Callithrix jacchus: one gene and its partners. The protein of the gene in region 3 interacts with the protein of the main gene of each other region in a biochemical or structural test. Links are inferred from orthologs where the notes say so. Each region holds a gene or a part of one and is shown on either strand. Other genes may lie near its edges.

Region 1 (3,647 bases), about 19 Mb from region 3:
GAATGAGGTTTGTATGCAAGGTGGACAAGCAGCCAGACACAGCCAGTAACTGAACAGACTGGGGACTCTGGCTATGAAATGGCTGGGGAAGAAACATAAGCAGTGGGTTAGACTCACTAAAGCACTCCCAGGTGCACAGAGGAGGCCAGGTGGGATTTCCCAGCAGTCTATCTGGGAATACTCCAGGATAGTCTCTGTGACAGGCAGCACTATGTGGAAGGGCACTACTTGACTGAATTCCCCTGTCCCTTCATCCATGACCACCTGGGAAAGCCCCCCACATGGGCACCATGGTTCCTGTGGGCAGAAGACCCACTGGAATGATTCCTATGAACCCCCAGTGGATGCAGAGAGGAGAACGTCAGGGTGTAAGCAATGCTTTGCAGAGCAAGCACCCTGGTCCTATTGTCCCTGAACCTGCCTGAGGCAGGGACACAAGATCTATTGGTGAAAAGGGCCTGTGTTCTATGCTGTTAGATGGGCTTACTTAATAAGCTCTCTCTTCCTTTTGCTGACAGAATAATAATGCTTTTCTTTCTCGAGAAAGAACAGTCTTTCTCGAGAGAAAGAAAGATTTAGGTTTAGGGACTAACACCACTATTTACAATTTTAAAAAGCTTGAGGAGGGTCCTTAAATACTATGAACGTCAATTTCCTCGTCTGTAAAATGAAAGTATAATAACACCTATCTGGCAAGGTTATTGTGAGAATCAAAAGAGATTAGCAGTCGAGAGTGCTTTGCTAATGATAAAGCGCTATGCAATTTATCATTATTCCTCAAACTTCACAGTCCAACTCTTAGTCTCTCTTTCTGACTCTCCTGGTCCTGCTACGGGATTCACAGTCAATTCCATGAAACGAGGCCCTTCATTATATCTTGTGTCTCACTATTGAACAAATGTTTTATGTCTTATCTTTACAATGAATTGCTAGAAATCACATATATTTATTCACCATTTCGTATCAGGTAGGTGATCAATAAATACTTATTGATGGTGTAGAACTGCCCCAGCATTAGTAGAGCATAGACTTGGGAGCCAGGCCTCCCACCTACACCGCCTCACCCAGCCAACCTTGCGGGTTGGAGCCAAGGAAAGAGGCACAGAAGAAGGCTGTGCCTTGGAGTCTTAGGCTCTTGGTTTGGCTCTATCATTTCCTGTCGGTTTCCTCAACTATGAACAGAGCATAGTAATGCCACCCTGGTCACCATGAGAGTGAGCTCACCAAAAGGAGCACGTGGACAACTTTTGCAAACTATAAAGAATATGTGAAGTATTGTCACTAAGGTGAATGCCATGGCTGGGGAGCAACGGGGCCAGGTGAAGACTGAGCCCATGCTCAGTAAGGGGGCACACAGGCTGCCACCAGCACACTCACCTGAGGGTTCTTGCCTGCATCTGAGCCATGGAATGAAGTCCTGGGAACTGTTGCTGATGGGGTTGCTCACAGTGCAGACGTAGATATTTTTAGCATGCTGGGGTCCGAGGGTGAGGGACAGGAGGTGGGAGCTGTTGGCTGGGCTCAGTGGTTGGGTGCCAGCCTTTTCACTCCAGCTGTAAGCCACATGGTCCCCCTTCTTCACTATGCAGCCCAGTATCAAGGTGCACGTCCCGTTCTCCTGGGTCTTGTTTAACACTTTAATTTCTGGAGTGGAGACCTGCTCTGTCAGGAGTAGGAGGAAGGGAGCCATCACTGAAATGAACCCCTGGGAATTCTCACTTGACCTTTCTGTTAGGACAAAGACTAATGGCATTCTCCCTCCCCCTCAGTGTGATATATTTCTAGCGGGGACTCTATTGCTTCACACTATTCCTCATGGCCCGCTACACTCTTTCTAAGACCACCTTGGGATAAAATAGAAAAGAAGAATTTGCTTTTTAGGCCCCTTCCACCAATACTGTGAGGGCTTCATTCGCCCTTACTGATGTTCTTGACCTAGGTTGCTATTCTCCTGTCTCCTATCGGTGGAGTTTGCTGTCAACTCATCCATTATGGTTTTTAATTGGCTTATGTTGTTACTTCCCAGACCTAAAAGAATGACTTTTTAGTAGTGGGATTTCATCTATAGTAATGGGTGTGGCAGGGTGTGTGTGTGTGTATGCGTGTGAGCATGCGTGCATGCGTGCAAGCATATGCCTGTTCATGGGTGAGTGGGTGGGTGTGTAGCAAGTGCTTTTGTGTGTCCGAGATAGAGATAGGTCCTCAATTATAACCATAGACCTCATCAGTCTATTCCACTCTAAGGCCATGAAATAGCCCAGCTAAAAGGTAAAACCTTGCTTATTTAGCAACTATTATAGGACAATCACAGTGCTCATTTACCATCTTTTTAAATCTTCTCAACAATTATAACTCTAGTTATAATTATTCCTGTTTTACAGATGAGAAAGCCAAGTCCCAGGGAGGTGGAATGTCTTACATCTCCCAGCTTCTAAGTGGCCAAGTGAAGATCCGAACCTAGAACTGTCTTACTGCGAAATCCAAACTCTTCCCTTGGCTTGATGCCATGGTTGCAGAGGCCACATTTTCCAAAGTAAGAATTTGATCACAGATGTGACAAAAACAGGAAACTAGGAACAAAAGGATGGAATGTATGGCATCCACACTGTTTTGAAAATGCATCTTGTGCAGCCTCCATGCTCATGGCAATCTTGCCCCGGAGTCACTGTTGGAGTGCCACGGGAATTCTGCAGGGACTGTTTGAAGGAAGGAAATGCCGGGACAAGGGAGGACGCGTGAAAGTATTGCTGTCTTCCCTCTAGATATTTGAGAATTTCAAACAAATGCTGGTTATGTGGGAATTCCTGTCCCATCCCCAGACATAAGGATGTCATTTTGAAGAAGCAGAAAAGCCCCACATGGCTATCAGGACCCCTGGGAATTCAGATGAGCCTCTGGGTCTAAGAGACACAATCCCTGAGTGCACTCAAGAGGGACAGGCAGTTAAAGAGGCTCAAAAAACCACTCTCCTTGGAATCAGGTGGACCTGGTTCCTAGTTGAAGTGCAGCAACTTACAGACTTTATAACCAAAGCCTTTGTTTAAATGCAAAAAAGGCACTTCTCCCACCCGGTAGGTGTGATCTGGTGCGGGAGTGCAGGGCTTAGCAAGTGGCATGTGGGCTGGATTTCAGCCTTCTTTATCCAGAACCCCAGTGCAGTGAAACACCTACATGAATGTGTGTAAATGTGCTAACCGCTTCTCTCTAGCTTTCAGTGTCTGCGTGTATGAGAGAGGCTGGGTTTCATCTGTGGTATTCAATTTTTTTAATCAGAAAAAAATCCTATTTTCAAATAAAATCTTATTTGCAAACCAAGATTCTTGAAGATATAGGCCCTCCAGCCCACAGGGAGCTGCCCCCTTTTCTTTGGGAAATGGGAGTAGGAGTAACTAGTGCTACCATCAATGTTCAATTTGGAAAAAAAATGTCAACCTTTAAAACGTCTTCCCAACAACAGGTTTAAATACCCTTGAATTAGAAGATCATTCAAGTTACTTCCAATTCTGAATACCCTTTGCTTTTGAGAGAGACCTAAATTCTTGGTCAAAGGAGCGCTTTGCCCCTCTAGTGTGGACTGGGGAAGCCGCCATTATTACCATAAAGTTTCAAATGCAGGCAGAAGCGCTGAACTGAGATATTTTTCTCCA
Region 2 (3,647 bases), on a different chromosome or scaffold from region 3:
TCCAGAAGATTCATGATTCATCATCGCCTCTCTTGGGGGATTTTTACCCCTGGCTCTGAGTTGTGCCTTTGGGACAAAGGGAGTCTTTCTTTTCCAGCCAACACCCTGTGCTGGCGGGTAAGCTCCACAGGGCTGGCACGCTGGGGCAGCCTCTGGATGCACAGGGTGGGCCCAGTCAGAAGGAGCCTCTCCCCTGAAATCCCTCTACTTCCCAAACACACAAGCTTTCTTCTGCTGTTAACCCTGCAGGTTCAAGGGATGTGGGTGGAAGGGTCCTTCAGTCAGGCCTTCTCCCTGTTTGAGGTGGCATGACCCTGGGAATGAGTTTGGATGGGGTGGCTAGATCTGAGAAGGTCCCTGGCCAGTGTCCTCTGACCCATCTGCTCCCTCCTGCCAGTGTGCACCGGCACGGACATGAAGCTGCGGCTCCCTGCCAGTCCTGAGACCCACCTGGACATGCTCCGCCACCTCTACCAGGGCTGCCAGGTGGTGCAGGGTAACCTGGAACTCACCTACCTGCCCGCCAATGCCAGCCTCTCCTTCCTGCAGGTGAGGCCCATGGGCAACCCAGCCAGGCCCTGCCTCCAGCTGGGCTGAGCCCTCTGTTTACAGGTGGGTGGCAGAAGACGGTGCCCTGCCCTTTATTTCCTCTCTTGTTGTTTCTCAACCAGGAAGTCCTTTCCAGCGTCCAACCCCCATTCGTTTTACTGCAGAATCAGTTGACTCTCTATAATGTGGCTGGCCGAGGACATCTCTGGATGGGATGCATCTGGGTTTCTGCTATAGCTTGTGCTCTCTTGTCAGCATGATCATGTCCCCCATCCACCTGCCCCAGCCACTGTCCCGCTCCCATCCAGAGCAGAAAGGGCCGGTGAGAAAGGTGGATTACAGGCCCAGTTCTGCCACTGACAAGCCCTATGAATGTGGCCTACACCCGCTTCGCTTCACTGGGTCTCAGTGTCCCTATCTGTTTATTGGGAGCAATAGGTACCCATTGTGAAGCTCGAAAGAGAAATGTCTGTGAAAACGTTATGAGCAGGAGAGAGAGTGTGGAAACCAGCCTGCTGGGTCATGTCCACGGACCCTGGAGTGGGGTCACCTGCTTGGTTTGTCAAATTGTAGACGCCATCCCATCCAGGCCTTTGCTTTCACTGAGGAAGAAACTAAGATGCAGAGAGGGTGGGGCACCTGCTCAGAGTTTACAAAGTGCCCCCCACCATTATCTTTCTTGATCATGTAAGAATCTGGTGAGACAAGGCGGGACATCACCTTTATCTCCATTTTATCATTTTATATATGAGGGAACAGGACTGCTCCGTGGCTGGGGGCCTTGCCCAAGATCCCTAAGTACTGGGGAACCTCAGGGAGGCCTTGGGGGGTAGTAGTGTTCCTGCTTCAGCCCCACCCTACTGCTCCCTACCAGGATATACAGGAGGTGCAGGGCTACGTGCTCATCGCCCACAACCAAGTGAGACAGGTCCCGCTGCAGAGGCTGCGGATTGTACGAGGCACCCAGCTCTTTGAGGACAACTATGCCCTGGCTGTGCTAGACAACGGAGACCCTCTGGACAATACCACCCCTGTCACAGGGGCCTCCCCAGGAGGCCTGCGGGAGCTGCAGCTTCGAAGCCTCACAGGTGGCCTTCACCATCATTGAAACTTTCTCTTGGTTATTCAGAGCTGACCAGAGCCACAGCTGACCATGGGGAGGCTTTGTGTGGATTAGAAATGGTGTCCCCTCTGCTGGGCACGGTGGCTCACGCCTGCAATCCCAACACTTTGGGAGGTGAGGTGGGTGGATCACCTTAGGTCAGGAGTTTGAGACCAGCCTGACCAACATGGAGAAACCCTGTCTTTACTAGAAATACAAAAGTTGCCTAGTGTGGTGGCGCGTGCCTATAATCCCAGCTACTTGGGAGGCTGGGGCAAGAGAATCCCTTGAACCCAGGAGGTGGAGGTTGGTTGCGGTGAGCTGAGATCATGCCATTGCACTCCAGCCTGGGCAACAAGAGTGAAACTCCATCTTGGGGGAAAAAAAAAAAAGAAATGGTGTCCCTCTAGGCAGATGCAGGCAGAGCCCAGGAAGATGCCCTCAGAAGATTGGGAAAAGATTCCCTGTCTTCCTAGGAAGGTGCAGCTTGCATCAGCACACATCATTCAATCATAGAATGCAGGCTGGGTTTTTGCCCCGACTTGGCTGAGTGAAGCGTACAGTGAACAACCCATGTCACTATTGGGTGGTCTGGAGCCGACTGTCCCCAGAGTCTGGGTGCCATGTGCTTTGCCTGCAGGGTCCCATTTCAGTCAAGCTGCAGTCCTGTCAGGAAAGAATCAGTGATTCTCATTCTACAGATGAGATAAGGGACAAAAGTTACATAGCGAGTGAGTGATGGGGCTGGGTTTCAGATTCCACAGTCTGTTAACCGCCAAGCAGCATGCCCAGAGTAGAGGTGAGAGGGGAGGAGAAAGCTGTGGTCCACGTCGGCATCTGGACCTAGCATGGACAACTCACTTCTCCCTGGTCTTGCTTTGTTCATGTGGTGGAGGTGGTATTGGTGGGGCTTGAAGATGCCGAAGATCTCTTCTCTCCTCCCTGGGAAATCAGGGGGTTTAAAAGGCCTGCTCCTGTCTTAGAAGGCATGAGGGCCCCAAGGGAGGCAGAAGGTGACCGAAGGGGAAAGGATCCCTGATCATTGCTCACCCCACAGAGATCTTGAAGGGAGGGGTCTGGATCCAGCGGAACCCCCAGCTCTGCTACCAGGACATGGTTTTGTGGAAGGACATCTTCCACAAGAACAACCAGCTGGCTCTCACACTGATAGACACCAACCGCTCTCGGGCCTGTAAGCCATGCTCCCCCTGCCACTCCTTCTCTCGGACAGCCTGACCCCAGCCCCAGACTCCTGACTTACAACCCAGAGCCCGCCCGCCACTGCCCCAGCTGCCTCCACCACTCATTTCCTCCCTCTCCGTCCCTCCTGCCATCTCTCTGTGCCTCTTCATCTCTGGCTCTGGGGTTCCCTGTCCTGTCTCCCTCTGCCTCTAGGTGGTGCCTCTGGTTTGGGGGCCTCTCTGTCTGTTGGGGTCCCTCCCTTGCTGTGCAGTTGGCCTTGTGGCCTCTGCTGCTGTTTGTGTGTCTCTCCGTTATTAACCTGTCCTCTTGCTGTTAGACATCTCTCTCACTGCCTCTCTCTGGTTCTGTCCTCAGGCCACCCCTGCTCTCCGGCGTGTAAGGGCTCCCGCTGCTGGGGAGAGAGTTCTGAGGACTGTCAGAGCCGTGAGTCTCAGGGAGGCCTGGAGTCAAGGGAGGGGAGGGCCAGGGCAGGGTGAAATACAGGTGTCATACAGGTGACAAGGGAGGGGTGGGATAACAGGTTTGGGATGTCTTCCCTGGGGTAGGTAGTATCCCTAGAAGGTGATGCTGATGAGGGTCTAGTGTCCAGGGTGCTATTCAGCCCTCATCCTTCCCTTTACCCAACAGTGACACGCACTGTCTGTGCCGGTGGCTGTGCCCGCTGCAAGGGCCCGCTGCCCACTGACTGCTGCCATGAGCAGTGTGCTGCCGGCTGCACGGGCCCCAAGCACTCTGACTGCCTGGTATGTGCCTCTGCCTTGTGCCTACTGTGCCCTACTCCCCAGGATGCAAG
Region 3 (4,422 bases):
GAACCCAGAAGGTCAAGGTTACAGTGAGCCATGATTATGCACTCCAGCCTGGGAGTTGGGGTGAGACCCTGTCTAAAGAAAAGAGAGAAAGAAAGAAAGAATGAAAGAAAGAAAGAAAGAACAAAAGAAAGAAAAAAAAAGGAAGGAAGGAAGGAAGGGAGGGAGGGAGGGAGGGAGGGAGGGAGGGAGGGAGGGAGGGAGGGAGGGAGGGAAGGAGGGAGAATCCCAATATTGACCGTATACCCTGAGATCCTGGCCAGTCTGTCCTTGCACCTTCTTTTTTCCCTTTTCGCTGCTTGCACCATCACAGCTAGCTCTTCACCATCTCCCATCCAGAGGCACAACAGTTTCTATTGCCATCATTTTCCAGCTTCACTGTGTTCTTCATGTCAGATTTAAGTTTCTAAATTCACTAGTCTTGTCACTTCTCCGCTCAAAAACCATCCATGTTTCCCCATTAGCTTTAGAACCACTCTTTTAAAACTACCTGATCTTATCCCATCCTCCTTCTCCAAAAGCTGGTTTCCAAATGACATTTTAGGAACCCTGTATGTACATACTTTAAAGTATCCAACTTCTAGACCACTGTTCCTACCTCCTCCCCTTCCTAAAGCACCTTCCATCCCATTTCTATGTAACCAGATCTTACCCACTCTTTATTTATTTGCTTATTTATTTTATTTTGAGACGGAAAGTCTCTCTGTCTCCCAGGCTGGATAGCAGTGGTGCCATCTCAGCTCACTGCATCCTCTGCCTCCCAGGTTCAAGCGATTCTCGTGCCTCAGCCTCCTGAGTAGCTGTGATACAGATACCCCCACCATGCCCAGCTAATCTTTGTATTTTTAGTAGAGATGAAGGTTTTATTATGTTGGCCAGGCTGGTCTTGAGCTCCTGACCTCAGTGATCTGCCCACCTCAGCCTCCCAAAGTGCTAGGATTATAGGCGTTAGCCACCGCTCCTAGCCAACATATATTTTTCTTTAAATGGTACTGTGGATGTAGGTATAAGAGAGATAGCCTGTCTCTCCAGTATCATTTACAGAAAGAAGTGTGTCCCAATGTATTCTATTAGTAAGGACAATCACTTTTGTCTGTAATCAGACTTCTGAGCCTACTCCATGGCCCATTTGTGTACTTCCTTGTAAAATCCAGTTTTAGCAAAGAACCCTACTAAGTCAGTTTGGCAAGGACACCTCGCCCTAGCTATCTGATCACTGTCAGGTTCTGATGAGATTCCTCCTCCTCCACCATCCCCCAGGCAACAACTGATCACCCTGGTCTGTCTTCAGCTACAATTCTGTTAGGCTGGCTTAGCCAGAATCCCCTTTACCCCTGATGTTTCCTCTGAGTAATTTTCTAGCCACTGATCCCACACTACTCCTTGGCCATAAATTCCCACTTGTCCGTGCTGTACTCAGAGTTGAGTCCAATCTTTCCTCTGCACTAAGAGCTCCTTGCAGTGGTCCCTATACCTATTGTGATGATCCTGAGTAAAGTCTTCCCAACCATGATTTAACAAATGACATAGAGTAATTTTTTTCTTTAACAAGAGACACCGGGGTTTCACTTTCTGTTACAGGTATAATAACAGGTTCAGTGGCCCCTACTTTACAAAGAGGAAAATACATCAAGATAGGAGGTTTCTAGTGATATCTGTTCAGATTTCTGTTTAGGATTGCTTTCTAAACTGGGCATAAGCAAGTTCCTTCCACTGGGTCTCTTTGATATTGTAGCCTGGAATTTCTTTTTTCTTTTTTTGAGGCAGGGTCTTACTCTGTTGCCCAGGCCAGAGTGCAGTGGTGCAATCTTGGCTCACTGCAGCCTCTGTCTCCTGGGTTCAAGAGATTCTCCTGCCTTGGCCTCTCAAGTAGCCAGTATTACAGGCACACGCCACCACACCAAGTTAATTTTTGTATTTTTGGTAGAGATGGGGTTTCACCGTGTTGGCCAGGCTAGTCTCGAACTCCTGACCTCAAGTGATCCCCCTGCCTCAGCCTCCCAAAGTGCAGGGACTACAGGCATGAGCCATGACACCCAGCCTGGAATTTCATATTTAACTTAGACTCTGGAAATTCCAAATTAGTTTTAACACAAATTATTTGAGAAACCAAGGTCTCTGTTTCTTTACCTATGAAATGGTGACTGCTTATGCTTACCTTGATAGACTACAAGAATGAAAGAAAATGACGAATATTGAAGTCCTTTACAAATCTAACAAAATGTGAAATATTATTAGGATTTATAGTTTAAGTATTGCAAGTGGATACTGCAGAATAAGTAGTCTTTCAGATTGAAATTTCTTTTAAAACCCCTAGCCTTTTCCATACCAAATAAACAGATCTCTGGAGAACAGTACCTTCTCTCCATCCCCCCGTACCCCTCTTCTTCAGCCCTTCCCTTCACCACCACCATATCCCTCCTGCTGCTGCAGAGTCTGCTTGCAGGCCTTTACACCAGGGAGAGCAAGGCAGATGGGGGAGCACGGACAGACACATGCCTCTCCTGGCACTGCTCATTATTTCTCACTTTATGCATTTTGACTGCAACATCAGAGTGAAACACTGAGGGATATGTATTCCTTTACTGTGCCTTTGCCGCATTCAATGTACGATGTCACATGTGTGCAAGATGAGGCTACTCACGAGACACAGAGGCACAGGACTCCTGGTATCGACTCGCTGTCTCTTAACAGAAAGTTGCCATCCACCCCTTCCTTGAGCAGCAAGGTTTCACAGTCTCGCTTGGTCAGAGGGCCGTGGTAGTAAGGAAGATCCATGGAGAACGCTCTTGTATCCCAGGCAGCCCTGTTGGCCTGAAATTCACCCCCAAGCCAAGGGACAGCTCTGAGGAGGGATGTGGAAGCAGTTGTGCCTCCTGTGGAAATAGCTCTGTCTCTAGTGATCTGTGAGACTCAACCAGCTTCATGAGATTCAGGAAATGAGAAGGGCGGGGTGATAAAATGACCAACACATTTTATCCTCTATGTGGCCCACATGTGACTCACAGAAAGGGGTAAAGCACATTTAAATACACAGTGGAATCAGTGAAGCTCATCGCTAGGGAGACAACGCTGAAGTCAAGCTCTCTGGAACTGCGTTGCAGCCTGTATATTACCATGTACTATCATCACCTTCTCTGGCTACTGGCATCCTGTGCAGGAAGCACAGCATCGCTTTTGCAGTAATGGTACCCATTCTCTGCTGAAGTTGCATAGGATTGGGCTATGCTTAGCGTAGACTGGGTGCTCAAAAAGCATTGGGATGCTGAGAGAATTGATATGCTCAGATACAGTGGGAAAATTGAAACGGTGGCATTTCCATGGATCAAATGACACCAAAAATGGAAGATATTAATGGGAATAGAAAACAGTGGGACACTGTGGATGAGGACAGCCCATTCCATGACTAAGGCTCCTAGCAACTGGCAAAAAAAAGCGCCATTTTTAACACCCTCAAGCATTGTACCTTTTGGAGAAAGGGCTGGTGCAGGTGGGAGGGTTAACTGGTATACTCAAATATCCACAGGAAATCACTATATATCTCAAAAATGAATCCATGAAAATGAAACTAAAATAGAAAAGATGAGTTCGTGACGTATCTTTATTTCACTTCTTCTTTTTCTTTTTCTTCATCTCTGTAGATACCTGGAATCTTAACTTCTTCTTAACCCAGATGTGTATTTCACATTGCTACTTTGCTTACCAGCTGTTTACTCACACTTGGGGTGTATCTTTCAGGAAACTTCCTTGTAACGGTCTTTGTTCTTCCTTGGAATTCCCACTCTTTGCTGTTTGGCATAGCGTAGTTTCACGGATCAAGGAACTTGTTATCAGAGAGAGCTGCTCTCAAATACCAACTTTTCTTCTGTGGTTTTGGACAATTCATTATTATATTTCCCTGGGAACTATGGCAGTTGAAGACAGAGTTATTAATGATGAAAGAAGAAATTCGGTAATTATTGGGAATACATTCACAATCATCGTGTGAAGATGTTTTTGACATAAAAGAGAAAATAACTGAAAGTATGCTCAGGCTCTTGGTTATCACAGGGGCTTGCTGGACCTTTTTCCTGTTTCAAAATTCAATCCTCAGAGTAAAAGAAATATAAATTAAATCCATGCTGAGAGAACATCTCTCACCTATCATATTGGTGAAAAAAATCAAAAATGTGAAAACTTACTGGATTGGTGATGGTGAAAGAAAATAGAACATCTTGTATCTTGGTTAGGATACAAAATAGTTACAACTATAGTAAAAGAGAGTTTGACAATGCCTTGCACATTTGTGTATGCCTTCACGATCTAATAGAACAATCTCAGTCTAGAAATCTATCACAAAACTACAGGCAGGATTAGAAAATAACTTGTGAATAAGGTAGTATTTTTAATCGAAAAAGATGACAAACAACTGAAAGACTTGTGAGT

What was found.
Region 1: the proteins of SH2D1B (region 3) and SLAMF1 interact in a test that uses a peptide from one of them, tested with the Homo sapiens proteins (2 studies listed by BioGRID). The link is inferred for Callithrix jacchus from reciprocal best matches to the Homo sapiens genes SH2D1B and SLAMF1.
Region 2: the proteins of SH2D1B (region 3) and ERBB2 form a complex in vitro, tested with the Homo sapiens proteins (2 studies listed by BioGRID and IntAct, with this or other methods). The link is inferred for Callithrix jacchus from reciprocal best matches to the Homo sapiens genes SH2D1B and ERBB2.

Annotation. Positions count from the first base shown.
Region 1 is NC_133519.1:20,570,714-20,574,360, forward strand, and holds part of SLAMF1 (signaling lymphocytic activation molecule), read right to left. Parts: coding exon 3,597-3,647; intron 1,663-3,596; coding exon 1,378-1,662; intron 1-1,377.
Region 2 is NC_133506.1:120,167,635-120,171,281, forward strand, and holds part of ERBB2 (receptor tyrosine-protein kinase erbB-2), read left to right. Parts: intron 1-397; coding exon 398-549; exon of another isoform or gene 550-612; intron 613-1,423; coding exon 1,424-1,637; intron 1,638-2,708; coding exon 2,709-2,843; intron 2,844-3,208; coding exon 3,209-3,277; intron 3,278-3,481; coding exon 3,482-3,597; intron 3,598-3,647. UniProt on the Homo sapiens protein: Protein tyrosine kinase that is part of several cell surface receptor complexes, but that apparently needs a coreceptor for ligand binding. Essential component of a neuregulin-receptor complex, although neuregulins do not interact with it alone.
Region 3 is NC_133519.1:39,150,705-39,155,126, reverse strand, and holds the start of SH2D1B (SH2 domain-containing protein 1B), read right to left. Parts: upstream 2,896-4,422; 5' UTR 2,776-2,895; coding exon 2,642-2,775; intron 1-2,641. UniProt on the Homo sapiens protein: Cytoplasmic adapter regulating receptors of the signaling lymphocytic activation molecule (SLAM) family such as CD84, SLAMF1, LY9 and CD244. In SLAM signaling seems to cooperate with SH2D1A/SAP.